3 linked regions of the Xenopus tropicalis genome follow. The protein of the gene in region 1 interacts with the protein of each later gene in a biochemical or structural test. Links are inferred from orthologs where the notes say so. Each region holds a gene or a part of one and is shown on either strand. Other genes may lie near its edges. The genes, in order: arl2, tbcd and unc119.

Region 1 (4,448 bases):
CCAAACAGCCCCCCACCAGCCCAATAAATAGTGACTGTCTATGGCATCTTACAGCAGCCCCTCTGGCCTTTGCCAGTCTGGGTCTGACTATGGTATTACAGTATTACATCCATGAACAGCAATGAAAAGATGGATTTCTCAGCTGCCTTGATTCAATAAAAATAATAAATATATAGTAAATATATAGATAGGCAAATATCTTGTAGTCAGTATATTTGCTAGTTATGGGCTGTCTGCACATTTAACAATTATTTGAATATAATTTTGCATTTGTTACTTTCACACTGTGATCTCAGGATTACGTTGCTCCTTTTGTCTCCCTTATTTCTGAAGAATAGTCAGTAAGACACTGTAATGTCAGTAATTATTAAATCCAGTATAACTGTACTAACGTAGGAATTAACCCATGACATTACCATTTTATAAACTGTGATCACAGATGTTTATTATTGCAGAAACATTGCTGAATTTAATGTTCATCACTCACTGACATTTTAGGGACACTGGGAAAGTGCTGAGGCACATTAATATATTTGTCTAGTTTTTTTCTTGTTTTTTGTACAGAACCAGAGAGCTATAGCAACACAAGCCTGTGTGGTTGATAGCAGGTGGCAAACACTATGTGAAGGTATCAGGGATATCCAACCAGCACCTGAAAAACATCTTAAAGGGTGGAAGTTCTGGGCATTCCTTTTTTCTATGAATCCAGCTCCCTCAGACTGGGGTCCCACATTTCCCCATTGCTCCCACCCCTCTCACTGTTACACTCGGTTCAGCCTCCTTTCACTACACATTCCTTATCAGATTTCAGCCTTTGTTCATTTTTGGCCCCTAAACCCAATTTTCTGCTGTTAAATATAATTCCACTTTCGGTATTTCAGCATCAGTCGTTTCCCATTATTTTAACAATCTATCTGCATTCCTGTCATCAGGGTTCCATTTTATGGTTCTTGTTCTTATGAATGATTTCAGCTCTGTCTCCGTCTTCACATCACCTATTTATATTAAATCATGTTTATATTTACCACCACGGCAAGCTAATCGCCTCCTTTATAAATGTATATTATCCGTCTCATTGCCTGCCCTATCTGTTTTGTCCCTCTATACGCCCATCTGCTTTCTCAGTTTGCTGCTTTTACTCACCGGCACCTTTGGGTAGACTTAGACACACAAAAGATGGCCACCTTGACCCGCCGCACGCATGCGACGCAACGTCACCTTGACAACCATCCACCAATGAGAACTCGCAGATACCCGAAATTATATGCCAAATATCTTTATCTTTTCATTACAATTCATTTATTTTTTTATTGTAAAAAAGTGGTATCTTTTAAATTAGAGAATGTGGATTACGAATAATTGTTATATATATTTATTACCTCACATAGTATTAGCATATACATATGACACGTTTTGTCATGTCGGTATAATTAAAGTTGTTGACAAAAAAAAAAATGAATGCTTTGTTTCCATAGCGACACGGTTAGATGGCGTTCATTGGCCTACGCAGACCTACGCAAATACCAATAGCAGGGGCGGAAGTTGAAGAACGTCGTATCTGATTGGTCGGCAGTTCTGACAGGAGACCTGGGCAAGGAGAAAGCGTCTGAGCATCATGGGCTTACTAACTATTCTTAAGAAAATGAAGCAGAAGGAGCGGGAGGTTCGGCTACTCATGCTGTATCCACACCTTGGTGTATCGCGGCGGGAACTATTGAGCTATTATGTTAGGGCCCGACTTGAGAAAGCACATACATTGCTACATGTGGCTACTGTCTTTATGGCTGTGTAAGAGCAAAGTAGGGATCGGACAATATTTCATGTTACACCGTGTAATGCTTGTCTTATGTAGCGTCTTAAATGGCGGGGTGACTGGTCAGTTTGGTAGGTGGGGGCAGAACATTAGTTATATAAAGCATGGTGTGTTTAGTTGCACTAATATAACTAGGGTGTGGTTTAGGTGCCCCTGACCTGCTGAGCACTTTGTATGGGGCCACAGTATATTCCAGAATATAACTGCGCTGGGCATTCCTTTATGCACTTGTGTCTGGCCATTCTCATATTGAGGTGAGTGCCAAAATGTACTATAATGTACTATAACAACGTGTCATTAATATTTAATCGTAGAAACCCACGTTTTTCTGTACACAAAAGTGTACATTTTGGGCACCATTTTAAACCTAAAAAGAAAATTGAAATTCACTGGAGGATGCCAATTTGTTAACCCCCCCCCCCCCCCCCCCCCCATATATATATTTTAACCCAGTTAGTCTCTCTCTAATTTTCTGTAAAAAAAAAAGAGAAAAAGCACACCAGCCTAATGCACTTTTTCAATGAGCTGCGCTCTTCCATCTTTGCTGCTTGTCTCAAATCCCTTGCAGCTGTTCTGCTCTGGTAGATATGGCAGTTTTAGTTCATTACATTACATTACATTAACATTTATTTATAAAGCGCCAACATATTCCGCAGCGCTGTACAATAAGTGGGTTTCATACATTGGACATACAGAGTAACATATAAAGCAATCAATAACCGATACAAGAGGTGAAGAGGGCCCTGCCCAAAAGAGCTTACAATCTACAAGGAGAAAGGGTTGAGACACAAGGTGTGGGAATGGGCATGACCAGAGTTGTGAGAGGTGGGGCACAGGGTATTGCTAAACTAGATTAGGGTAAGCCTCTCTAAATAAATGTGTTTTTAGAGATTTCTTGAAGGCAGAGAGATTGGTAGAAAGTCTGACAGTTTGTGGGAGCGAATTCCAGAGAAGGGGGGCAGCCCTTGCAAAGTCTTGAATGCGAGCGTGTGAGGAGGGAATGAGAGAGGAGTTGAGGAGCAGGTCAGTAGAGGAGCGTAACAAGCGGGTTGGATGGTACCTAGAGATGAGTTCAGAGATGTAGGGTGGGGCAGAGTTATGAACTGCTTTAAATGTGAGGGTCAATAGCTTGAATTTTATCCTGGATGGTAGGGGAAGCCAGTGCAGGGATTGGCAAAGCGGCACGGCAGAGGAGGAGCGGTTGGAGAGGTGTATGAGCCTGGCAGCAGTATTCATTATGGACTGGAGAGGGGACAGTCTTTGGAGGGGAAGGCCAATTAATAGGGAGTTACAGTAGTCCAGGCGAGATATTATAAGAGGGTGAATAAGAATTTTGGCAGCATCTTGGGTGATAAATGATCGGATTTTGGAGATATTTCTTAGGTGAAAGTGACATGATTTGATAAGTGATTGGATATGAGGGGTGAAGGACAGGGCAGAATCAAGGATAACCCCAAGGCACCGGGCCTGGGAAGATGGGGTGATGGTAGAATTGTTAACCGTTCAATGCATGGGCACCAGTCCTAGACAGCTTCAAGGGTTCATGGGTATGGGTGGTGGCACAAACGGCACAATACTCAGTAAGAAATGTACCCTGAGCCTCTGCATTTTTATCAGGAGCCAATGTTTGTATTGTTGAATGGTCATATCTTGCATCGTGGTACATTTATGATGAATATCCAGCCAGGCTGTTGGTTTGACCACATACACTGGCCGATAACCTGCAGACTCTTGGTGGGGTCAAGTCAGCAGCTATTATTAGATGACTGCATTGGGGTATGGGATGGGGATGAGTTTTCCTTGCAGCGTTTTGTTGAATATTGTAATCTGGCCATTGAAGGTATTAAGTTTACTTACGAAACAAACAGGGATGTGATCCCCTTCCTGGATATAGTATTTTTTGTACAAAACAACCGAATAGCAACAGATTTATACCGTAAACCTATAACACGCAATACACTCTTACATGCAGACAGCGGGCACCCCCGGAATTGTGTGCGAGGAATCCCAGTGGGACAGTTTCTGCATCTTAGACGCATATGTTCCTCTTGGGATTCCTTTCACAAACAGGCCATGCAACTGTGGGACAGATTTGTACAGAGAGGTTATGACACGGAAACCATCAAAATAGCCTATGAGAGGGCAGTTGCCACCAGTAGGTCCGATTTACTCAATAGTGCATCTCAGGATAAGGCATGCCCAAGGGGTAAGGCCAAATATAATCATAAGTCCAATACTAGGTTTTGCCTTACTTATGGCAAGGGAGTTGCAGAAATACAAAGAAGTGTCCGCAAACACTGGGCGGTCCTTTTACAAGATGCAGATCTGTGTAAGGTCTTGGATGAGACACCCCGATTTGTTTTTAAAAGGGGTAGAAATTTAGCCTCATGGATTTCTAAAAGTCTATACTCCACTGAGACTTATAAACAGGGGGCGACATGGATGCGCTATAAGGGTACATATAAATGCGGTAGAAGGAGATGTAAAGCTTGTACTCTAATTGGGGTATCCAAATCCTTCAGGAGCTCCAATACAGGGTGTGTCTACCAGATTCCCCAATACTTTAATTGTCAGACCAAAGGGGTGGTATATCTAGCCACATGTGAGTGTGGAGCCCAATATGTGGGCAAGACTA
Region 2 (4,357 bases), on another chromosome or scaffold:
TTATTAATAGGAAAATAAGATTAAAATATAGGAAGGTTGGTATTTATTGTTTCCACAAAAGGTGTCACCCCTAGCTGCAGGTGCAGCCAATTAGAAGGGAGGATGGGGGAGGGGTCTGGAGAGAATCTGCAGGGGGGGGCAAGATCTCCCCAAACCAACTGATACTTACTGCCCCCCCCCCTCCCAGAGCAGCTACAAACTGCTGCAAAGCCAAAAAGCAAGGCTGCTGCCAGGAAGCAACTAGAGAGGGACTGTGCCCAACTGGCAAAGGCAATGGTCGGGGGGTCCTGCAGAACTTGGAGAAAGCACAGGGGGCAACACTGCTATGGGGGACAGAGACTGTGCTATGGGAAAGGGAGGGGGCAGAGGGTTTTAACCCTTTACTGATGGCAAAGGCTTTAAACACCATTAAAGATATATTGAAGGAGACATTGCCAATATGAAGTTTGCTAATGGAGAAGCAAGGGCTATGGGTATAAGGAGGCCAGCGGGCAGGAATAAAGGGCTGGGGAAGGGGTTGGCCAGTGTAATGCCCATGATACCATGCAGCACCCCAAAAATTTGTATCCATGTACATTGACTTTGTTAAGGGGGGGAGGTGGGGAGCCTTATGTTTGGCATTTGGCACCACCCGGTGATTGTGACTTTAGTCCTCCTATAAGCTTCCCCCAGGATTTGGGGGGGGGGAGTTGTTTATATTCCAGTGTGGCTCTAAAAGGAGGAAAGCTGAAGAGGGGGGTAAGAAGGAAGAGAAAAAGAAAGGGACATGGGCACCTATATAGCAGAGCATTTTGTCCCAAGTGTAAAAATTCCCTTTGTTATATGGTAATAGGGGGCACACAGCAGAACTATATGGCAGATCCACTATCTTTCTGGCACCGGTGGGGCAGGTTTGGACTGGGATGTAAAACCCCCCCACTAAATAGTGACTATGGCATGTTACTGGCATTTGCCAGAAGCCACAGATTGCCAGTCTGGGCCTGTATGTGGGTGTTTTAGTGTTGGGCTGGCGGGGCATCAGTACAATACCTGGGGGCTCACCTACCCCCACCTGATCCCCACTGGTGCTTCCTATTGGTCTCCCCTGATCAGGCTGAAGATAGTATAATGTATGCATTCTCCAGACTGACAGGGCCCTGCAGCACCCCAGCCTCACACTGGGAGTTAGAAAAAAACAAAAATCTGTAAATAAAGGTCAGATTAAACCAGGTCTGATGGGCCCTGCACACCCCAGCCTCATCCTGGGTGTTTTAACAAAAGCTGTAAATAAAGATCCATTTTTAACCACGTCTGACATCCATCTACAGAACTACAACTCCCAGCATCTCCTTTACTCACAACTACAGTATAACAAGCATGAACTTTGCTTTATATAGTAGTAGGAGGGCCAACACACAGGGCTGTGGGTAACACTGAGATGCCACACACACCACCCGATGGGAGAATGGTGTAGGTAGAGCGATACACGCCTTGCTCTGTGCTTGCATTCACTCTCATTTTGTCCCTCTCCGGGACCCGTAGTTTGCACAGTAGCCTTTTTGTCATAGTTACTGGGTTGGGCGGGGCCGAGCGGCTGGATCACGTGGGAGGGCCCCGGAAGCTGCAGCTTCGTACAGTGAGTAATTTACTGTTCGGGTGTGTAATGTTAGTGTGTGAGGGGATTTGGTTTGACTTCTGCGGGCCCCCGTAGCGCAACCCTACTGCTCTCTGCTCCCCAACACCCCAACGCTTTCTGTTAGCTGATTGGTCTCTGCTCTCCCTCAGTACTCATTGTTTCACATGGCCCTCCGCTGTGTAATGTGACAGGGCTGTGTCTGACAGAATAGTGACAGGAAGCCCAGTCTGTGCCCCAGTGTGTGTCAGATATATGGCAGCTCTGTGCCCCAGTGTGTGTCAGATATATGGCAGCTCTGTGCCCCAGTGTGTGTCAGATATATGGCAGCTCTGTGCCCCAGTGTGTGTCACAACCCTCCCTCCAAATGAATGTAAAATCAGTGCCCCAGTATCTGTCAGACCCCCCCCAAATAAATGGAATTTCTGTGCCCCAGTATCTGACAGGAACCCCCCAAATATATGGCAGGTCTGTGCCCCAGTATCTGACAGGAACCCCCCAAATATATGGCAGGTCTGTGCCCCAGTATCTGACAGGAACCCCCCAAATATATGGCAGGTCTGTGCCCCAGTATCTGTCAGACCCCCCCCAAATATATGGCAGGTCTGTGCCCCAGTATCTGTCAGACCCCCCCAAATATATGGCAGGTCTGTGCCCCAGTATCTGTCAGACCCCCCCAAATAAATGGAATTTCTGTGCCCCAGTATCTGACAGGAACCCCCAAATATATGGCAGGTCTGTGCCCCAGTATCTGACAGGAACCCCCCAAATATATGGCAGGTCTGTGCCCCAGTATCTGACAGGAACCCCCCAAATATATGGCAGGTCTGTGCCCCAGTATCTGACAGGAACCCCCCAAATATATGGCAGGTCTGTGCCCCAGTATCTGTCAGACCCCCCCCAAATATATGGCAGGTCTGTGCCCCAGTATCTGTCAGACCCCCCCCAAATATATGGCAGGTCTGTGCCCCAGTATCTGTCAGACCCCCCCCAAATATATGGCAGGTCTGTGCCCCAGTATCTGTCAGACCCCCCCCAAATATATGGCAGGTCTGTGCCCCAGTATCTGACAGGAACCCCCCAAATAAATGGAATTTCTGTGCCCCAGTATCTGACAGGAACCCCCCAAATATATGGCAGGTCTGTGCCCCAGTATCTGACAGGAACCCCCAAATATATGGCAGGTCTGTGCCCCAGTATCTGACAGGAACCCCCCAAATATATGGCAGGTCTGTGCCCCAGTATCTGTCAGACCCCCCCCAAATATATGGCAGGTCTGTGCCCCAGTATCTGTCAGACCCCCCCAAATAAATGGAATTTCTGTGCCCCAGTATCTGACAGGAACCCCCCAAATATATGGCAGGTCTGTGCCCCAGTATCTGACAGGAACCCCCCAAATATATGGCAGGTCTGTGCCCCAGTATCTGACAGGAACCCCCCAAATATATGGCAGGTCTGTGCCCCAGTATCTGTCAGGAACCCACCAAATATATGGCAGGTCTGTGCCCCAGTATCTGTCAGACCCCCCCCAAATATATGGCAGGTCTGTGCCCCAGTATCTGTCAGACCCCCCCCAAATATATGGCAGGTCTGTGCCCCAGTATCTGTCAGACCCCCCCAAATATATGGCAGGTCTGTGCCCCAGTATCTGACAGGAACCCACCAAATATATGGCAGGTCTGTGCCCCAGTATCTGACAGGAACCCACCAAATATATGGCAGGTCTGTGCCCCAGTATCTGTCAGACCCCCCCCAAATATATGGCAGGTCTGTGCCCCAGTATCTGTCAGACCCCCCCCAAATATATGGCAGGTCTGTGCCCCAGTATCTGTCAGACCCCCCCCAAATATATGGCAGGTCTGTGCCCCAGTATCTGTCAGGAACCCCCCAAATATATGGCAGGTCTGTGCCCCAGTATCTGACAGGAACCCCCCAAATATATGGCAGGTCTGTGCCCCAGTATCTGTCAGACCCCCCCCCAAATATATGGCAGGTCTGTGCCCCAGTATCTGTCAGACCCCCCCCAAATATATGGCAGGTCTGTGCCCCAGTATCTGACAGGAACCCCCCAAATATATGGCAGGTCTGTGCCCCAGTATCTGTCAGACCCCCCCCAAATATATGGCAGGTCTGTGCCCCAGTATCTGTCAGACCCCCCCCCAAATATATGGCAGGTCTGTGCCCCAGTATCTGACAGGAACCCCCCAAATATATGGCAGGTCTGTGCCCCAGTATCTGACAGGAACCCACCAAATATATGGCAGGTCTGTGCCCCAGTATCTGTCAGACCCCCCCCAAATATATGGCAGGTCTGTGCCCCAGTATCTGTCAGACCCCCCCCAAATATATGGCAGGTCTGTGCCCCAGTATCTGTCAGACCCCCCCCCAAATATATGGCAGGTCTGTGCCCCAGTATCTGACAGGAACCCCCAAATATATGGCAGGTCTGTGCCCCAGTATCTGACAGGAACCCCCAAATATATGGCAGGTCTGTGCCCCAGTATCTGTCAGACCCCCCCCAAATATATGGCAGGTCTGTGCCCCAGTATCTGTCAGACCCCCCCCAAATATATGGCAGGTCTGTGCCCCAGTATCTGTCAGACCCCCCCCAAATATATGGCAGGTCTGTGCCCCAGTATCTGTCAGACCCCCCCAAATATATGGCAGGTCTGTGCCCCAGTATCTGACAGGAACCCCCCAAATAAATGGAATTTCTGTGCCCCAGTATCTGACAGGAACCCCCCA
Region 3 (3,650 bases), on another chromosome or scaffold:
AGCAATCAATAACCAGTACAAGAGGTGAAGAGAGCCCTGCCCAAAAGAGCTTACAATCTACAAATGTAGCACCTTACTAGAATCAGAGCTTTTCAGAAATGTGTATTTTATATTATTATATATAATATATTATTTTGATATTTTATTTGGCAGTGGGCAGTAACCCATGGCAGCAAATAAGATGTTTGCTTTCAACCTGCAGCTGCCCAGTGTTTATAAATGAGCACCCAATATTTTCAACCCGCCTGGCACCCAGAATTTCCAGGCTGACACACTGCTGAGAAGGGAGTTCTACTCACAATGATCAGGATTGTAACTGTTGTAACACTTGACCTATAGGCTTAATTTGGGACTTTATGCAATGCAATGAAGTGAGTCATAAATCCTTGAATTAGAAGATACAGGGTTGTTACAGAAATAGTTTTCCATTGTAGTCATAGCAATCATTGCTAACTGATGGGTTTGGGTATATTACCGTTCCAAGAGGGACTTATGCACATATTCCTTGTCTGTTAAGTAGCAGGCTGGATTTGTTTTCCTTTTGTCTGAATGTACCATTGGATGTTTGTTGGGAACTTAAAGCTGGTCATATGCAGAAAGGTCCACTCGTTTGGTGAGGACTCTATACAAGTGGACCAATCTAAGCGCATATGCACTTCTCACCCTGATCATCATCTGGCTGCTTATTGTTTGGGCAGGCCTGTCTGAAGGCCCCGGGCACTGCTGATAAGCTGCCCACTCCGTGACCGTCAGCAGCTTTTATCTGCCCATGTAAGGCCACCTTAACCTGCTGTTGGGATATACTGATGGTGTTAAATAACCAGGCACAGATTGCTTTTACAGATTAACCAAACCCGCCAGAAAGCTGCGCTTCTAAAGCTGTGTTAAAGGGGTTGTTTAGCTTTATTTTAAAGGAACAGTAACACCAAAAAATGAAAGAGCTTTAAAGTAATGAAAATATAATGCACTGTTGCCCTGCACTGGTAAAATTGGTGTGTTTGCTACAGTAACCCTACTATAATTTATATAATAAGCTGCTGTGTAGCCCCGGGGGCAGCCATTCAAGCTGGAAAAAAGGAGAAAAGGCACAGGTTACATAGCAGATATGTTATGTAACATAACAGATAAGTTCTGTAGAATACAATAGTGTTTTATCTGTTATCTGCTATGTGCCTGTGCCTTTTCTCCTTTGAATGGCTGCCTCCATGGCTACACAGCAGCTTATTTATATAAATTATAGTAGACTTTCTGAAGTAAACACACAACTTTTACCAGTGCAGGGCAGCAGCACATTATATTTTAGTTACTTTTATACACTTTCATTTTTTGGTGTTACTGTTCCTTTAACTTTTACTATGATTTAGACAATGATTAGATATTCTGAGACAACTTGCAGTTGGTCTTCATTTTTTATAGTTTTTTTTGGTCATTTAGCTTTTGGTTAGCAATTTGGTATTTTAGCAGCCATCTGGTTGCCAGGATCTTATTTTCCCTAGCAACCAGGCAGTGGTTTGAATAAAACTAGAATAAGTACAGGTGATTGAATAGAAAGATAAGTAATAAAATTGTAGCTTTGCAGAGCAGTAGTTTTTTACCTGCAGTGACCACCCAATTGAAAGCTGGGTAGAGGTAGTAGAGAAAGGCAAATAACCCAAAAACCATTAAAGATAAATAATGAAGACCAGTTGCAAAGTTGCTAGGTATAGGACATTCTATAACAGTGATCCCCAAACAGTGGCTTGTGGGCAACATGTTGCTTACCAACCCCTTGGATCCTTGCAATGTTGTGGCAAGCTAAATTCCCTTATATAGCATTTCATTAGATAGCACATTTTATGTTTTAGAACGTGACCACGGCGATAAAAAGGATGCTGATCCTAATGCTGGCAGATTTGTCCGATACCAGTTCACTCCAGCTTTCCTGCGACTGCGCCAAGTAGGAGCAACGTAAGTGCCTAGAAAGATCACTCTTATAAGCAAATGCTTGCTCTTCTGCTATGAGAGAATTTGCAAGTAGGTTCAGGTAATGTAAATACAAACTATGTGCGATAGTTGTTTTCATTTCCTTTATGGCTTAACTAAGAACATGCAGTTCTGCACATGAAAATCAGTATATTAATCTAAGTATGAGGAGAGAATAAATAAAAATGGAACATTTATGCAATGGTTTGCATGTAAATTAGAGTTCAACTTTTATGGATAATATATTTCATTCTCCATAATGGCACTAGCTATGAAAATAGTGTTACATACAACAGACTCATATTGTGCTTAATGTGAAAGTCTGCCTGGGCCACATGAGGTTGGAGGCACCAACGAGTATTTTACTTCAACTGGTCCTGGGCCAGGCAGGGGTATAAGTATAGTGAGAGCATTGCATAACAACTCTGTCATTAAATGTACTTGCTCCTTCCTATAGTTGCTCTGGGCACCACTCCTTTCTGTCTTCTGTTTGGAATCGTGTGCCGCAGCACCTACTAACGCATGGGTACTCTGGAGCTACTGCCACCTCTGGACCAGGAGGTAGCTCCAGGGTTCCCCTCGTGCCCTCTGTCAATTGCCACAGCACAGTTGTGCTAAAGGAATAGGGCACACACGTCATGGCAAACACCAGAAATGATGCCCGAGAACACCAGATGACAGGCAGGCTTAGAAAATACTTGTCTCGGTTGCAACCCTTATGCAACAGACACAGTTGTGTCCATTATTACAAAAGAATGTAGTTGCATTGTGTATTATATGCTGTGTTACGAGATCCACTGGTTTTAGAAAAAGAACATTTGCATTGTGGCTCAAAACTGCACTTTACTCACTGCACTTGTTGACATAAATGAGCCCTTTTGTGTAGCAGCCTCTGACTGATCACAAAGTCTGCGTTACTGAAGCAAACATGTATCTTTTATATTTATGTATGTATATATTTTATTGCAGAGTTGAATTCACAGTTGGTGATAAGCCCATTAATAACTTCCGCATGATTGAACGGCATTATTTTCGTGAGCAGCTATTAAAAAGCTTCGATTTTGAATTTGGCTTCTGTATCCCCAGCAGTAAAAACACTTGCGAACATATCTATGAATTTCCACAGCTCTCTGAGGATCTAAGTAAGTTATTTCTCTACGTAAGTATTTAGAAATATATCTGTTCCTCTCTGTGGTTATATTTTATTTCATATAACAAATGCAGTCTGATTCTCCGTGAATCAGTGCAGATTTCAACTTCAAAATAGGCCCTGGCATTTCAAGTACACAGAGGCCCAAACAGCCCCCCACCAGCCCAATAAATAGTGACTGTCTATGGCATCTTACAGCAGCCCCTCTGGCATTTGCCAGAACCCACAGATTGCCAGAATTTGTGTAATTTTCCAACCTTCATAAGATGTCAACTGAGAACTCCATTCTCACTGTATTTTCATAAGCCTGAATAAATATTGAGGGAAAATGCCTGCCAGCTGTTTGGTTATTCTTTTAGGGTGAATAGGCAATAGAACTTGGCATGTAAGGCTGACATATCCACCATTTGTGTGCAAGCTTCTACCCTGAGACTGTAAGATAAAGAATTAGATGGCTTAAAGTACATTTTTGCCAAATAAATCTGTACTCATAATATTCTGTAACATTCTGGCAATGGAAGGTCCATTTTGTTTGAGA

What was found.
Region 2: the proteins of arl2 (region 1) and tbcd form a complex in vitro, tested with the Homo sapiens proteins (2 studies listed by BioGRID and IntAct). The link is inferred for Xenopus tropicalis from reciprocal best matches to the Homo sapiens genes ARL2 and TBCD.
Region 3: the proteins of arl2 (region 1) and unc119 form a complex in vitro, tested with the Homo sapiens proteins (2 studies listed by BioGRID and IntAct, with this or other methods). The link is inferred for Xenopus tropicalis from reciprocal best matches to the Homo sapiens genes ARL2 and UNC119.

Annotation. Positions count from the first base shown.
Region 1 is NC_030680.2:32,599,360-32,603,807, reverse strand, and holds the start of arl2 (ADP-ribosylation factor-like protein 2), read left to right. Parts: upstream 1-1,569; 5' UTR 1,570-1,615; coding exon 1,616-1,680; intron 1,681-4,448. UniProt on the Homo sapiens protein: Small GTP-binding protein which cycles between an inactive GDP-bound and an active GTP-bound form, and the rate of cycling is regulated by guanine nucleotide exchange factors (GEF) and GTPase-activating proteins (GAP).
Region 2 is NC_030686.2:48,127,926-48,132,282, forward strand, and holds the start of tbcd (tubulin-specific chaperone D), read left to right. Parts: upstream 1-1,546; 5' UTR 1,547-1,615; intron 1,616-4,357.
Region 3 is NC_030678.2:34,705,607-34,709,256, forward strand, and holds part of unc119 (protein unc-119 homolog A), read left to right. Parts: intron 1-1,844; coding exon 1,845-1,947; intron 1,948-2,931; coding exon 2,932-3,104; intron 3,105-3,650. UniProt on the Homo sapiens protein: Involved in synaptic functions in photoreceptor cells, the signal transduction in immune cells as a Src family kinase activator, endosome recycling, the uptake of bacteria and endocytosis, protein trafficking in sensory neurons and as lipid-binding chaperone with specificity for a diverse subset of myristoylated proteins.